Linked DNA regions of Tamandua tetradactyla. The protein of the gene in region 2 binds, or shares a complex with, the protein of the main gene of each other region. Links are inferred from orthologs where the notes say so. Each region holds a gene or a part of one and is shown on either strand. Other genes may lie near its edges.

The links.
Region 1: CACNB3 (region 2) and STAC3 share a complex: the UniProt entries of both Homo sapiens proteins name them as parts of the calcium channel complex. The link is inferred for Tamandua tetradactyla from reciprocal best matches to the Homo sapiens genes CACNB3 and STAC3.

What each region holds. Positions count from the first base shown.
Region 1 is NC_135333.1:124,434,056-124,441,319, forward strand, and holds the start of STAC3 (SH3 and cysteine-rich domain-containing protein 3), read right to left. Parts: upstream 3,016-7,264; 5' UTR 1,049-3,015; intron 313-1,048; 5' UTR 312-312; coding exon 246-311; intron 1-245. Other genes in the region: R3HDM2 (R3H domain-containing protein 2), read right to left, coding at 3,805-4,145, 5,054-5,138, 5,587-5,684, 6,607-6,754, 7,171-7,264. UniProt on the Homo sapiens protein: Required for normal excitation-contraction coupling in skeletal muscle and for normal muscle contraction in response to membrane depolarization. Required for normal Ca(2+) release from the sarcplasmic reticulum, which ultimately leads to muscle contraction.
Region 2 is NC_135333.1:109,718,376-109,725,483, reverse strand, and holds the start of CACNB3 (voltage-dependent L-type calcium channel subunit beta-3), read right to left. Parts: upstream 3,006-7,108; 5' UTR 2,980-3,005; coding exon 2,935-2,979; intron 1-2,934. UniProt on the Homo sapiens protein: Regulatory subunit of the voltage-gated calcium channel that gives rise to L-type calcium currents. Increases CACNA1B peak calcium current and shifts the voltage dependencies of channel activation and inactivation.

The DNA.
Region 1 (7,264 bases), about 15 Mb from region 2:
GAGTGAAGGAAATCCAATGTTAAAGGATTGTCATCGGGCAGGCCATGGCGGCTCAGCGGCAGAGTTCTCGCCTGCCATGCTGGAGACCTGGGTTACACCCCAAGATTAAGGGATACTGGGGCTGTAGGTGCTGGCTGGCATTCTAAATGAGTCACATAAAAATAAGAACAATTCAGGCACTTTTTTTAAAGGGCTGTAATGGTTTCCCACCTTCCCACACCCAATGGTCAGATGCCCAGACTCACCCCACTTTGACGAGTCTCTGCTGGGAAGGAGGGATTAGGGGGCTCCAGCACCTCCTTTTCTGTCATCCTGCAAGAGGTTGGACCCCACTATGAACTCTAATCCCTAACTGCCATTCTTTCCTTCCTTATTCCTGTCCTTAGCAGTAGGGTTGTCCTTGAAGAAGAGGCCTCAGAAGAAATCTGCTTAGAGATTCTTTCCTAGGGCTTATGAACAGAAAGACTCCATGGAGATCCAGACAGACGAAAGAATTTTCCAACCTGTTCCTTAAACCGATATCCAACCTTCTACCCTGAGGGGCAGCCCCAGAGTTTATAGCCTCAACACAGTGCTCAAAGCTACATGGTTTGGGAATTTTCCTACAGGCACTTTCTTTTGGGAGGTTGTGGGCAAGAGAGATTTGACATGCCTTCCTGGGCCCCTTCTCTTCAAGAGGTTTCATGCCTGCATCCACATGCATGCATGGAGGAATGGGCTGGAGACATTTGTTCCCTCCTACCTCCTCCTTTAAGCCCTGGGGGCCTCTCGCCTAGTTGATCTCAGCCTGCCACAGGCCTTAGCTATTTTAAGTTTTCAAAGTAATATGAGCCTTTCCCTCCCTATTGCTCCATCCCCTTGGCCCAACCCCCACTCCCCAACCTGCCACCGCCTCCCCCAATCCTAGCTCTCTTCCTGGAGTAAGGTAATAACTTCACTCCTAAAATACTTGGAGATAAGTAGAAATGAAGAAGATGAATAGACTAAGGATTGGGACAGCTGGGGTGAGCAGTCCTAGAAATGGAAAGAGGATGAAGAGGCAACTTACGTTTGGGATTCCCTAAGTCAGCCTGAGGAGGGAAGTAGGAGCCCCTGGGGCCTTGGTGGTGGTGCTGGGGGGAGGATCGGTCCTCTTCCCTGGGGGCTGAGCCCCCCCAGTACCCTCTGTACTCACACCGGCTACCAGTTGGTATATGTAGACCTCCTAGCCTCTCCCTTTGGTGTCAGAGTTGAAATGACAGGGCTGGAGGAAAGTGGACAGCTGAGCAACACAGCTGACACAGAGAAATTGGACACGGGGAGGACTGGGGCAGGGCTGTACCCTAGCCCTCCCGTCCCCCAAAGCTCCCGTTTCCTGATTCTTCATCTATGGTGGGCAGGCCAGTAGTAAATTCAGTAAGGAATGGTTTTGGTTCAGGCTGTACACCCATTTGAATGGATTTTGGAGGACTAAAGGTGAAGTAAAGATAAATTATAAAACATTTCTCCATCCCTTACCTCCAAGGTTCAAAAACTTCCCCAATTCTGCCCTCTCTGTACCTACTTTAAGGACTACAGACTTCAGCCTCTCAGCCTTTATCTTCTTGTGACTTATGTGTTTGTATAACCTCAAGCATCAATCTAACCTTAAACTTGAGGATGGAAAGGACTGGGGACTGGTGAAGATAGGAAAGCGCTCTCCTATCAACCAGACTAGAATGTTTTATTAACTGTGGGTTTAAGAGGGGTGGCCTTGCTTCTGTCCTGTAAAGGAGTGAGGAATCTGTATTACTGCTTGTTCCCTTGATCTTTCCACACATCTCCAAATCTTGTCCTCAGGATAGTGAATTGTAAGGGCTTAAGACTTCCATCTGAGAGATTTTGCGGGAGTGAGGGCCTAATGACCAGGTAGAGATAGTTCAGTTAACACTGGCCAGAAGCTTACAGCTGCTGCATAGGGAATTTTTATCATCTGTAAATAATGTTCCTTTCCTCAGGAGAACTGCAAATTCTTGCAGGTAGGATGGTTGAACTTCACACTTCCTAAATAATTTTCATTCCTTGATGCACCTCCTTCCTGTGATGCCCAAGTATATGAACTGATGGATCAGTACGATAGCTTGCATTCTTTTCTCACAGGGATGCAGCTTTCTGCTATTCTTTGGGTTGTGACATGGCTGGAAAAAGATAACCCCCATCTCAGAGGAGAGCAATTTAGACATGGTAATGTAGTGCTGCACTATCCCTTGTGTCTGTTAAGAAATAAAGGATTAGGTTGGAGGTAGGGTCAGACAAGCTTCAGAGCTTGGCTAGAGATACAGTCACCCAGATCCAACATTTTCCAGGGCAATATGCTCTGCCGTTTCTACCCACTGCTCTTTTTCCTAAGGGGGTGGGGTGAGATTGAAAGGGGGCCACTGGATGGCAGGGTTCTATTGGTTTGACTCTACAGGCTCCTTAATGGGCCCTGTTTAACAGGCTGCAGAAAAACAGGGCTAACTTTGAGATGCCTCAGATATAGAAAACGTCCATCTTGCAGGCAGGTGACCTCTGCTTTTCTTGAACTTTCTTCATCTGCAAAGGACAGGGACAGCTGAGTATGCCTGCATAAATCTAGCATCTTGGCACAGTAAGTTCAGATAATATAGCTTTTATTGTAAAACACCCACTTCCATTCTTGCCAAGTAGAGCTCAATCCTCTAGTTTTAGGATTAAAGAAAGGCCCATCGCTTGAAGGTTTTCAGAAGACTAGATGATGGGCTTTGAGATCAGCATTTCAACCCATTTCTAGACCTTATTCCTCCCTAGCTCAGCCACAAGGGCCCTAAATGAATACCACGGAATTAACAGGCTGACAAGAACCTTGGAGGTCACCTAGTCAGTCCAAGTCTCTTATTTTATTAATAAGGACACAGAGATCCAGAGTTGAGAAGGTGATGTGCTTGATGAACCACAGTTAGTGGCAGAATTGGAAAAACCCAGAACCACCCATCAGAATTATGGGCAGGAAGGAGGATCGGAGAGAGGGAATGGTGCTAGGAAGATAAATGTGCATATGCTAGGGGAAATCCATCCCAACCCACAACAAACCCTCCCAACCCCCACCCACACCAGGGCGGCAACACAGAAACGAGGACTGATGTCCAGTGACAGAAGATTTTTTTTTATATTTAAAAACAAAATCAACCTCCCCCCAAGTAACCCCCCCACAAACAAAAAACCAGATTAAATAAAATTTACAGTGAATATACCCAGCAAACATCTGTATGTGCAATTAAATACTGTGTCTGTTACTGCGGCACAAACTTCAAACAATATACAAGTGTTCTGGGGGGTGAGGGGGGCCCAAGTTTTAACTCTGTGGGGTTTGGGAGACAAGATGAGGGAAGTGAGAGGAAGGAGAAATCAATATTGTTTTTCTTAATTCTGCCCATATAAATATATTCGTAACGACCAAAAAATAAAAGGGAGCTTAGGATAGTAAGGAAATAGAATACGGGATTGTGGACCTTCCCAATTCTACCTGGCCAAAGAATATGAAAAAAATTAATTTTGTGGTGGGAAGAGAGATAAAAAATGATAGAAGAGGATGGGAAGGAGAGGGAAGCAGAGAGGAGCCAAGTGGGACAGAAAAGGGATGACGGCAGGGGAGTGAGGAGTCCAGTGCCAGTGTGAGTGTTTGCTTCCACGTTTATTCTTACTGTCTTAGGTTCCAGTTCAGCGTCTGTCTCCCTGTTTTCTACCTGTCAGTGGTCTATCTGGATCCCTCGACCCTCTTTCACCTCGTCCCCACCCCTACTGTGCCAGTCCTTTTCCCTCCTTCACTTATTGGGAGCTGGCTCGCTCCAGGATCCTCAGGTCATAGTTCTTTTTGGCCACTCGAAGTTTGAAGCGACTCACGGAGTTGTTGAGGCGAAGGGAGGCATTCTGGGCAGCCAGGGGGCTGGGGAACACAGCCACTATGGTGTACAAGGCAGCGAGGTCCGCATGGCGGCCGTTCTCAGCAGTCCCACCGTTGTCCCCTCCGCCCCCGCCAGGCAGCCCCTGAGCATCCTTGAGCCACTGGATCTTGGCGCCAGACAGGGCGAGCTGAGTGAAGAGTTTGTCAGCCTCGGTGCGGGTGATGCCCTCAGGGAGATCTGTCACCTCCAGCACCCGCCCCAGGACTGGAAGGGGAGGAGAGAGAATATAGTGGTAAGAGCCGAAGATGGGGAGTGGCAGGGGGGTGGAGAACTGGTCAGTGGCAAGGGAGAGAAGTATCCAACTGACAAGTCTGTATACAAGGTCCTCAAAAACCTAGCCATTCCCTCTTTGCTATCTTCTCCCCTCTCCAAATCAACCCAATTCCCCACCATCCAGACTCTGATTAGGGCAACTAGGAGAAAAAGATGAACCTTTCTCTTGGCATAGCCTAGAAATGTAGGCAAAAAGGAAGGTCTGGGAATCAGAATCCCAGGTTGATGGTCTGGGGACCTATAAATCAGTTCTCTCACAGGGTACCATTGCTATAAAGGAAGGGTGGGTTTTGCTGATGTGCTTTAACAAAATCAATGAATCAATCTCAAGTATGTCCACAGTTCCCTTCCTACTCAGAGGCTGGCCCAAATAAAATCTTCTTTCTTATCATCTAGGGAAGTTAATTTCCTTTTTTCTTTCCTTGTTTATCAAACTGTTCCAACTGGGGGAAATCCTGAGAGATCTTGTATGGCTAGTGTGGAATGCCTGCAGGAGGAGGATTACTCCCCCACAATCTCTGAGACTCCTCCTAAATACTACCAAAGGTAGAGGTCTTATATTCAGGTGAGGCCTGCTCCCAGAAGACTCTCAGCTAACAGACTCAGTGACTCCATTACTGTGTTATTTCCAATTTTTACCACTATCTTCCCAAGAATCTGGGATGGTTTGGTAGGGAAGACTGAGACATTCCACTTTTCCCTCTTCTCCCTGCTCTTGAGCACAAATGGTTCCCACTTTCATTTTCCACCCTAAGCTGGCTTTTCCCTCCCATCCTTGGCTGGTAACGCAGGCTTGTGGTAGGCACCTTCTTACAGGGATTTAGGATTTTATCACTCACCAACATCTGCTGTCCCCAGGTCAGTGGAAGCAGATTTGAGTGCTTGTCTCTTGCCCCGGCTTCCATGCTTCAATCCACTCTGTCCCTTCAACAATCAAAAGACTATTCTCATTTTGGATTAACAACACTAACTGCCTTCTATTGCAACTCCTGCCTGAGAGATTGAGTAATAGCACCCAGTCCTGAGGATCACACCTTTCCAGGCAATCAGATGCCCAGGCATGGTCACTGAGAAGCAGAGAGCCCCTCCCTCTTGGCATTGGGGTGGGTGGAAGAAATGAGTACAGGAGTGGGGTAAGGCCTTCAGCCCCTCCCACTTATTCCATTTTCCCTGTGTTGTTTCCATTGTCTTCTGAACTGGAAAAGGTGGATGGCTCAGAGATAGGGGACCAGATGAGAGTAGATGAGAGTGTATGAGAGAGAGAGAGAGAGAGTGAGTGAGTGAGTGAGTGAGTGAGTGAGTGTGTGTGTGTGTGTAGGGGGTAATCTGATGGCCTGAAGGCTACGTAGGAGGGGATGGTAGACACCCTTACCTGGTGCACTGTATAAGTCGACTGGCCATGGAGCAAGGGAGGGCAGATGGACAGATTGTACTGTAATGGCTGGCCCAAGAGGGAGTACCGCCCATCACCTAGGCAGTAAGAGCAGATGGTTTTCTGGGAGCTTGAGCTTTGTGGTATGACTTTTAGGAGACTTTGGGGATGGGATGGGGTCGGCTTTGAAAATGGATAGCAACAATACATACTATTCCTATATTTTCTGTGACAGGAGTGCCCGTGAGACTGATTTTAGAGTTGTCTCTCTTCCTAATCTTCCTGGCTCTCAGCTGTATCTTGTAGACAAATGGGGCTATTACATCCCCTCACCTTTACTTGGTAGACAAAAGCCTTGATGAAATGACCAGGGAGGAAACTAAAGACCCTTACAAATGTTTTTTATCTCATACAGATTCTCCCCACCTCAAAAGCCAGGGGTCGATCTTCTGACACATGTAAGAGCCAATACAAACGAGCATTTTTAACTTTTTAAACCATAGTCTCATCTTGTTTTTATACTGCATGTGACAGCCAGGTCAGAAAGCAGTTAAGATTCCTATCTTATGTGTGATGAACCCCATCTTATAGATCAGGAAACTGAGGTTTTTTTCCAAGTTAAAGTAACACATCCAGCATCACAAAGCTAGTGAGTTAGTGGTGGAACGAATACTTGAACCCAAGTCTTTCAACCCAAATCTTGTGTTCCCTCTTCTAAAATTCTACTGTGTTTGACACAACCCCACTTTTCTAGCCTTCAGACTCAGTACTGACTGGTTAAACTCTTGGGTTCACTAGAAAGTTCAATGAATTTCTTCCCCTTAGCCCACAGTACCAGTCACCTACTTGGTGATTCCAACTAAGTACATAAAGGAATATGGGCAGCACTAGAAAGAGGTGGGTGTTCTTGACTTAAACAGGGACGTTACAGTTTTTAGAGGTTCCCTGATACAAAGGAAGAACTAGCTCCCAGAAAAGGCTGAATTTTACAGCAGTCAGCCCTGATCTCTCATCCCTTACCCTGTGCTGGACCTCCAGGCCGAGGGAACTGTGTGAGGACAGGTAGAGGACTGAGTCCTGTGCAGACACTGCTGAGGCTGGTGACAGGTGAGGGTGCTGGGGATTGGGTAGGGGACGTGACGGGGCTGCTGCTCATTTGTGTGTTGGCCTGTGGAAGAGAGTAGCACCCATCACATAAACATCAAAAACAAATACTCCTTATGCTTGGCTTAAAATTCCCCCTCTTCACGAAATAAGTCTTTATTGCTGAACTCTGACAAACCAGACTGCTACTTAAAATTGCCCCCTTATTCCCTACATAATTAATTTATATTATTTTAACGCCTACATTTGGACACACCATTTTAAGTATTCTCTGGGCATTTTCAAGTATGTATCCTATCTGCTACCTTAGATCTGAGGTTCCCTGAAAGAGGACGTATTCTTCCATTTCTTGTGTTTTCTCCCCTAAAAGTGCCCAGGGGAAGATTTGTAAAAGAGGCTGTTCAGTCAATGGTAAAGACTGTTTCTTAGGAAGAATTTAGCCACCTCCTTGCCTAAACAGGGCTGGGCTGTAGGACTCACCTGAGGGTTACTGTCAGGATTGTACAGGTCTCCAGGCTTCTGGCCCCGCTGGTCCACGCTGTAATATTTACAGTGACTCCACTGGACCATGGAT
Region 2 (7,108 bases):
GCCCTGGAGAAGGGCCAGGCTTGTGCCAGGCAACCCAGCCAAAGAGTCAGACCCTGGGGACGCAGGGGGAGGGTCTCTAGTAAGCAAAGCAAAGAGAGTCTCTGAATCCTGCCCATACGAAGGGCAATGAGGGTGTATTTGGAGAACCCCAGAGCTCATCTTCAGGGCTATGAGGGAGATACACAAATGAAAAAGGGAAGCTGGACCCTGGGACAAGAGACCTGAAGTCAGGATATCTGAGTTTCTCCTCAGTCTAGGGAGAAAGGAATGTTGTTTTCTACTTTAGTTTCCCTTCTTTACGGGCAGAAGACTGAAATGATGCTTCCCTCAATTCTAAGTACAGGTGGCAAACAAGGTAGGAGTCTAGATAAGCTGTTCGTGTGTGTGTGTAGGGGAAGAAACTTTAGTCCAGTGTCCAGAATGTTCTCAGACCGAGGAATATTTCCCCAAGTTCTCTGTGCATAAGTACCTCGCAAGAGGCAGCAGAGACCAGATTCTCAGTGGGAACACATACCTACTGTCCACTTGGCCTCTGCCCCAGTCGTCTCTTGGGCAGGAGGGCTTGTCAGCTTGGTCTTAGCCTAGGTCCTAGAGCTTAAGCTATAGATAACATCTGTGGTAGACCAAACGCATGAAGATAGCACAAGGGGGGGAAAGTCTTAATTTTACAGAGGAGTTGAGTCTGTCTGCTCTTTCTCATTTCTCATGAGAGTAAAATAAGGCTTGCTTGGCAGCAGGAAGGAGAGGCTGATCCCCAGGAAGGATCTATGCATTGTCAGTAGGAGGGACGTCTTTCCCAGGGGTCTGAGTATAAAAGAGATACCTCTGCAGGATACGGCTGTGTGAAGTAGATAGGGGCTGATAGGCTCGGAGACAGGAGGAAAGGCAGGATAAATTAATATCAGGTACCTCTTAGATGCCTAGCACTGAGCTGGGAGAGGAGTCTAACCTTTACTCCCTGTCCTCTAGGCTGTCAACCTAATAGTAATCTTAATGTCCCCGCCTGGGACATCAGGGTTACCTGGCCTCCCATCTAGGATGGGAATGACAGGATCTCTCCTTAAATATTAAATAAGCTGTGCTCAGAATGGAACCCCCTCTTCATTACTCCCAAGTCCTCAGGGCTCACTCATCTCTGATGCTCTGGCGTCACTGAGGGAGGCCAAGACTCCTCTTCCAAGTACACTGTGGGGTCTTGTCTCCCCCATCTCCTGCTTTGCCAAAACAGTCACAGGCTCAGTACTTTGGAGCTGCCAGGAGTTGGCACAGAGCCCTGGTGGTGCCCCCCTTGCCTGGTGAGTGTGTGGGCAGGCTGCAGCTCCACTCTTGCCTGGCACGGGGGAAGGCGAGGAGGGAGATGAGCCGGTAGATTTATTTCGAGTCTGATCTCCCTCCTACTTCTTCAGAGGGGGCCTCAGGGAGAGCAGGGAGCCAGGCAAGAGAAAGGGAAGTGGGGGCAGGGGATCTAGGAACCAGAAAGGGGCAGGAAGGGAGCAATAGGTTTTCACACAGCCTTCAAACGCCATCCACCTTGCAACAGCTCCTTCCTTCTCTCTCTAGGGATGTGAAGAACCTCCCGGCTCCCCTCCAGCCCCACAGAAAGGTCCCTTTTTCAAGCTCCCCTTGGCACCCTGGGCCATGCCAGCTGTCCCTTCATTTTTCAGACACGGGCCTTGAAAATGATGTGCTCTAGCTGCTAGGTAATTAGCCCCAGAGGCCCAATGGGGAACTAGGCCCAGCCGGAGCCCAATCCCAGAAAAGGACTGACAGCCTCCTATTCTGAGCCCTAGCACTCATCTATCCTGAGCCTGGCATCAAGAGATAGGAAAGAGCTTGAATACACTTCATTTTTAGACCCAGTAGTGTTGGTAACCATACAGTTCTACCCTTCACAACAATCAGGGGGTCCCTTCTAAGACATCTATCTGGTGGTCCTCTTCCAAGGAGACCTTCTTTCAGGTTTAAGGGAAGGTTGATAACTCCAGGAGTCTGAAAAGCTGCTCCCCATCCATGCCCCCTCTTTCTAGATCCTGTCCCTGATCTCTGAGCTCCGGGAATCACTGCCTAATGAACTGCCTTGTCTCAGTGGGTCAGGAGATAAAAGCAAAGAGGAGAATTAAATATTTATTAGTTGCCTGGTTCTCTGAGCAAAGAGCTTCCTCTCCAACCTCAGGCCTTCGGCTTCTCTGGCCTCACCTCCGGGCCCTCCATGCTGAGCAGGGATTCAGGGTGCCTACTGCTAATGAGGAAGCCTCAGCAGGGAGCTGTGGAATGGATCCAGCTTGGTCAACCAGCCCACCTATGTAGTGGGTGCCTGGATTTCAACCTTGGTCAGAAGCTGGGCTACAGAAGTGTGAGGAGATAAGGCAATGCGCAGACATGGAGGGCAGGAAGGGATAATGGAGGTTCTCAAGTTTTATGATCCCTCTTTATGAAAAGGCTAGGACCAGACTCCTTGATGTTCTCCCAGGCTCCCTTATTTTTTGCTGACTTGGGGCACTGGTCTGGAATGTCCCCCTCCTCAAGAGCCCCAGCTCCTCCTGTAGCTGTTGTGTTTAGATCCCATAAATCCTCCTCTTCGAACTCTAGACATTGCGTCGGCCCTCTCTAAAGCATCTGTGCCATTTATCTCCACTCCTCCATTCCTTCCTCCCTCCACTCCTCCCGTTCTATGCTTGAGAGCCACCTGCCCAAGCCTTTTCCCCAAACTGCCCCCTACTTGCTCGCATCCGATGGCCCTTGGTCTAGGACTAGGGCACTGGGGAGCCCCCGGCATGAAATTCCACCTCCCCACTTTCCTACAGCGCCCCCACCGTTGCCCTGCCACTGAGGCTTTTTTTTTTTTTTTTTCAAAGTCCTGAACTGGGGGAAGGGTCCAAAGGAGAGGAGGTGCCATCCCAACTCCCCACCCCCACCCTCACCGTGGGCACTCACCGCCTCCGAGTCCTCAAACCCGGGCACGTAGGAGTCGTCATACATGGGGGAGTCCGGGTGGGGGGAAGCGAGCGGCGCCGGGGCGGGAGCGGCCGGGACGCAGGGGCGAAGGCAGCGGCCGCGCCCGAGAGATGCCACCGAGCCCCGCAGCCCGGCGGGCGGCGGCGGCGGCGGCGGCGGCGGCAGCGGCGAGCGAGAGAGCGCGAAGCAGGCAGCGAGTCGCGAAGACCAGCTGCTCCCAGCTCAAATCACCGCTCCCCCTACTCCTCCCCCCCAACCCCGCTGGTCCCACCCCAGGAGCGGCTGAGGAATCTGGCGCCGGCTCCTACAACAATAGTGCCCGCCCACCTGCCTCCCCTCCCCGGGAGAAGGCGGGGTAGGCGGTGGGGGACGCTGGCCACTGGGGGAGCTCTGGACTGGGCCGGGAGAGGGTAGTAGACCGGAGCTGGGTAGAAGGTGGGTCCCCAAGCACCTATGGGGCAGAGGGGGAGGCGGGGAGGAGGGGGAGGAAAGGGAGGAGAGACAGCGGGTGGGGCGGATCCAGGCTTGGAGGAGGCGGGGCGAGGAGAGATGCGGAGACCCAGACGCCAGGCAACCCAGGAAATACTCCGTCGGGAAACAAAGGGCTGGAGCGGGGGAGGGGAGGGGACACCGAGACTGGGAGGGAGACGAGACTCGAGCTGAGAAAGGAGAGGGCGCAGGTTACCGGGAGTCAGGAGAGAAAAAGAAGGGATAAAAGCAGAGGGAGGAAGCGGGGAGACAGGGAAATGGGGAGACTGAGGAAAACAGAAGAGGCGTGGGGGAGGGACAGCTGCAGACGGGGGAGGGGCCCCAGGTGAGAGGGCGGTGTGTCTGGGCCCTGGCAGTCCTGGAGACTCCAAAAGCAAACCTCTCAATGGAATTGGTGAGAAATGAGTTTGGTGACGGAAGTCAACGCCATGAAAGCAGCCCCTATCCCAACAGGTGCCCACCCCCCTCAGTCCAGAGATGCTTCAGCAAAGGGTTGTGTTGCCCAACCCCGTACTGAGGGTAAGGGGCGGGGTGGGGGGTGGGTGTGTGGGGGGGTGGGATGAGATGGTGGTGGTGGTAGTGGTGATGATGTTTCCTGAGCTGGGGTTAGGCTGGCAGATTTCATTTTAGTCTAGCAGGGATGGAGGTTCCCTTCCTCACTTCCCTGACAAGGACTGTGCCAGCTCCTCGGGAACTGGAGCTGGGAGAGGCTGTCTTAGCTGAGCCTCAAGGGAGGGGGGAAGAAACAAGTGGATGGAGGTAGGGGGGTTATTTTGGGTAGGAGAGAAAATAGGGTCCTGGCCACACTGGAGTTGGAAGGGAGAAAAGGCATGTCTCCCCAGAGTCACTGGCACTGGCGTAAGACTAGATTCTCTCCTTAGCAAAGATGAGGGCTAGGTATTCAGATTCCATGTACCACTCTGCACCAGTCAGTCTCCTCCAGAGGAGCCCCAAGATTAGAGACAGAGCCATGGCCTTATCTTGAAGAAATTTCTCCAAAGATGCCCCCATTGAGCTCCCTCCTTTCTTCATCTCCTGAGCAAAGTTAGTTCTCTAAATTTTGATTAATGGTCTAGACTGCCTACCCACCAACCTGCCCAGCCCACTCCCCTCAGGGGGATGACAGAAGTAGACAAGGGGTTACACACTTGGTGAGAGGTCTTAGGCCTCCTAGTGTCTGGACCTTTGTCCCTGAGCTTGATTTTTCTCTATTCCCAGTTTTTCACACCTCACTATGAGGGTGAGATAAGAAAATGGGGGTGTGAGAGCCTCTATAAACTAAAAATCCCTGCCCAATTGTAGGGAGTTATTGTTATCACTTTAATAACCATTTAGTGATGCTTCTTTCCCTCTCAATAATGTGTTGAAGGAAGATGAACAGGAAGGGAAGAGTTTAGAATAGGGACCTCTCTGTCCATGAGCAGAGGGTGGGGAATGGGGGAGGGATAGTGGGAAGGGTATATGGTATAGTAGCTAAAAGATGTTTGGAAGTTAAGATACTTGCATATTAATTTTGGCTCTGCCACTAAAAAACTATGTGATCCCAGTCAAGTTACTTATCTCTGAGACTATTTCCCGCTCCTTAAAAGAATGTTGGGCTAGACTTTCTGGGGGGTCTTTTAGCATTGAGACTTGGAGTCTAGGAGAGGGACCACCAAATGTTCCTTACCCATCTCTGCTCACTAATTTATTCCTTCCACAAACATTTATAGAACATCTTGCTCTAAATAATTCCCAGTCTCTTCCTGTTTCAGGGCTAGAGGAGACTCAGGAAACCAAAACTTGACAAGGTTCATGGGCTCTTTGGTAGAAGGGCCTATGCGTGGGAGAGAAGAAGACCCTTAAACCAGTCGGCTTCCCATCTATGCTACTTGTTTGTGCTTGCTTGGCAAGGAAAAGAGAGAGAAGGGGCCTCATCTTAAAACTATTTTTAGTTTGCCTTTAGTCTGACTGTGCCTGTGGATGGTCCAAGCCCCGTCCAGCCCAGCATCCTCCTTCTGCTAGGTTTGGCAAACTGGATTTGGCTGGAGCCCCTACAGCTGAGGGGACCAGTCCCTATTGTGAATGCAGTTTGCTTTCACAGTTCCCTATCCTGAGGTTATTATATATTGGATTATTATATATAATTTGAGGTTATTATATATTTTAATATATAATATTAAATTGGGAATCCCCCAACACACTGGCTTTTCACTTCTTTGCCCTCTCCCACTTTCATAGCATTCCCTCTATCCTCCTCTTTTATTCTCTCTGCCACTTCCATTTCTTCTGTCCATTTCTTCTGGGGGCAGAGAAGAGATCTGAAGTATGAAACAATAAGACCCTTAAGGGGCTTGCTCCTAGGAGAGGATTCCAGTGAAGACAGATGCTGAGTCGGCTGCTTCACTCTCCATCCCTGAATCTAATCTGCGGGCATCTCTTTTTTGTACTCTCCCTAATCCCAGGGAGTCCTGGAGACTGCAAATAACAATGGACCTGTATCAGCAGTACGCCTTCCTCACACACCTTGTTGTCTTCATCCACATCTGGGACAATAGTGCATAAGTCTGCGCATGAGGCATGAATTGCCATGCCAACAAATCCCAGGAGATGGATTCAATCTCCTCACACCTGGCCCATCCCCTGGGTTCTCCTGGTGCTTTGGAGCCTCCCTTTCTTCTTGTTGTATCTCTGGGTTGCTACCAATGCCCTCTACCATTTGGTAGACGAATGTCTTCTCTAATTCTCAGGCCAACCTAGTGATTCCTATCTGTAGCAGGACATGTCAGTATCCCTAATCTTTTTTCTTTCTCATGGCTGGGCCTAAGGGGAGAATGCTGAGGGCAAAAAGGATCAGGGGAGGTACAATGGTGGCTCAGTGGCAGAATTCTCGCCTGCCATGTCAGAATGTCAGAGACCTGGGTTCGGTTCCTGGAGCCTGCCCATGTAAAAAAAAAAAAGGATCAGGGTCCAAGCCTTGAGGAGAGGACTCCTTCTGCCAATCTCTGCCTAGACGAGATTAGACTGGCAAGTAGCCAGGCATTGAAGCAGGACAGAGGGGGCAAAGTCTGAGTAACCAGGTTTGGGAAGTAGAGTTCTTGGGTGCCTCCAGAATACATTCTAGCTTTTCTCATTGCACCAGGAAGCTGTGTAGATCCTAATCCCTGAGCCTTGAAGGGGGAAACTGAGGCAGGAGCCAACACCTCTGCAAAGTCCTCCCTCCAGGAGTCTCCAACAAGTGCATTCTAGGGGCTAAACTGACGCCAGGGAATTCCGGGTGAGGTACCAAGGAGAGTTCAGCAGAGCCCTCCCTACTCCCTCTAATCTTGCCCCTTTCCAGCTTCCCATAAATCCTCTCCTCCCTTCCCAGTTCTAATGCTTAGGAGCTGCCAGCTCTGGCTTCTCCCTTCTACGGGTTGCCTTCCACCCTTGGTCTGGCTTCCTCTGGTCTCCCTCCCCTACCACCCATTAGGGAGGGGGCCCGCGTTTACCTCGTTCAGCAGGAAGGTTGCACTGGAGTCAGAAAAAGACATAGACCGGGCTAGTGGCCTCTCCCCCTTCCCCGGGCCCGGGGCTCCGAGGCGGGAGCAGGACCCGGCCGCCGCTCCGCACACTGGGTGCTTTCTGCACGCCTTGCCTCGCCCCACGCCGGCTCGGCTCCTCCGCCTGCTCCCCTCCCTCTTGC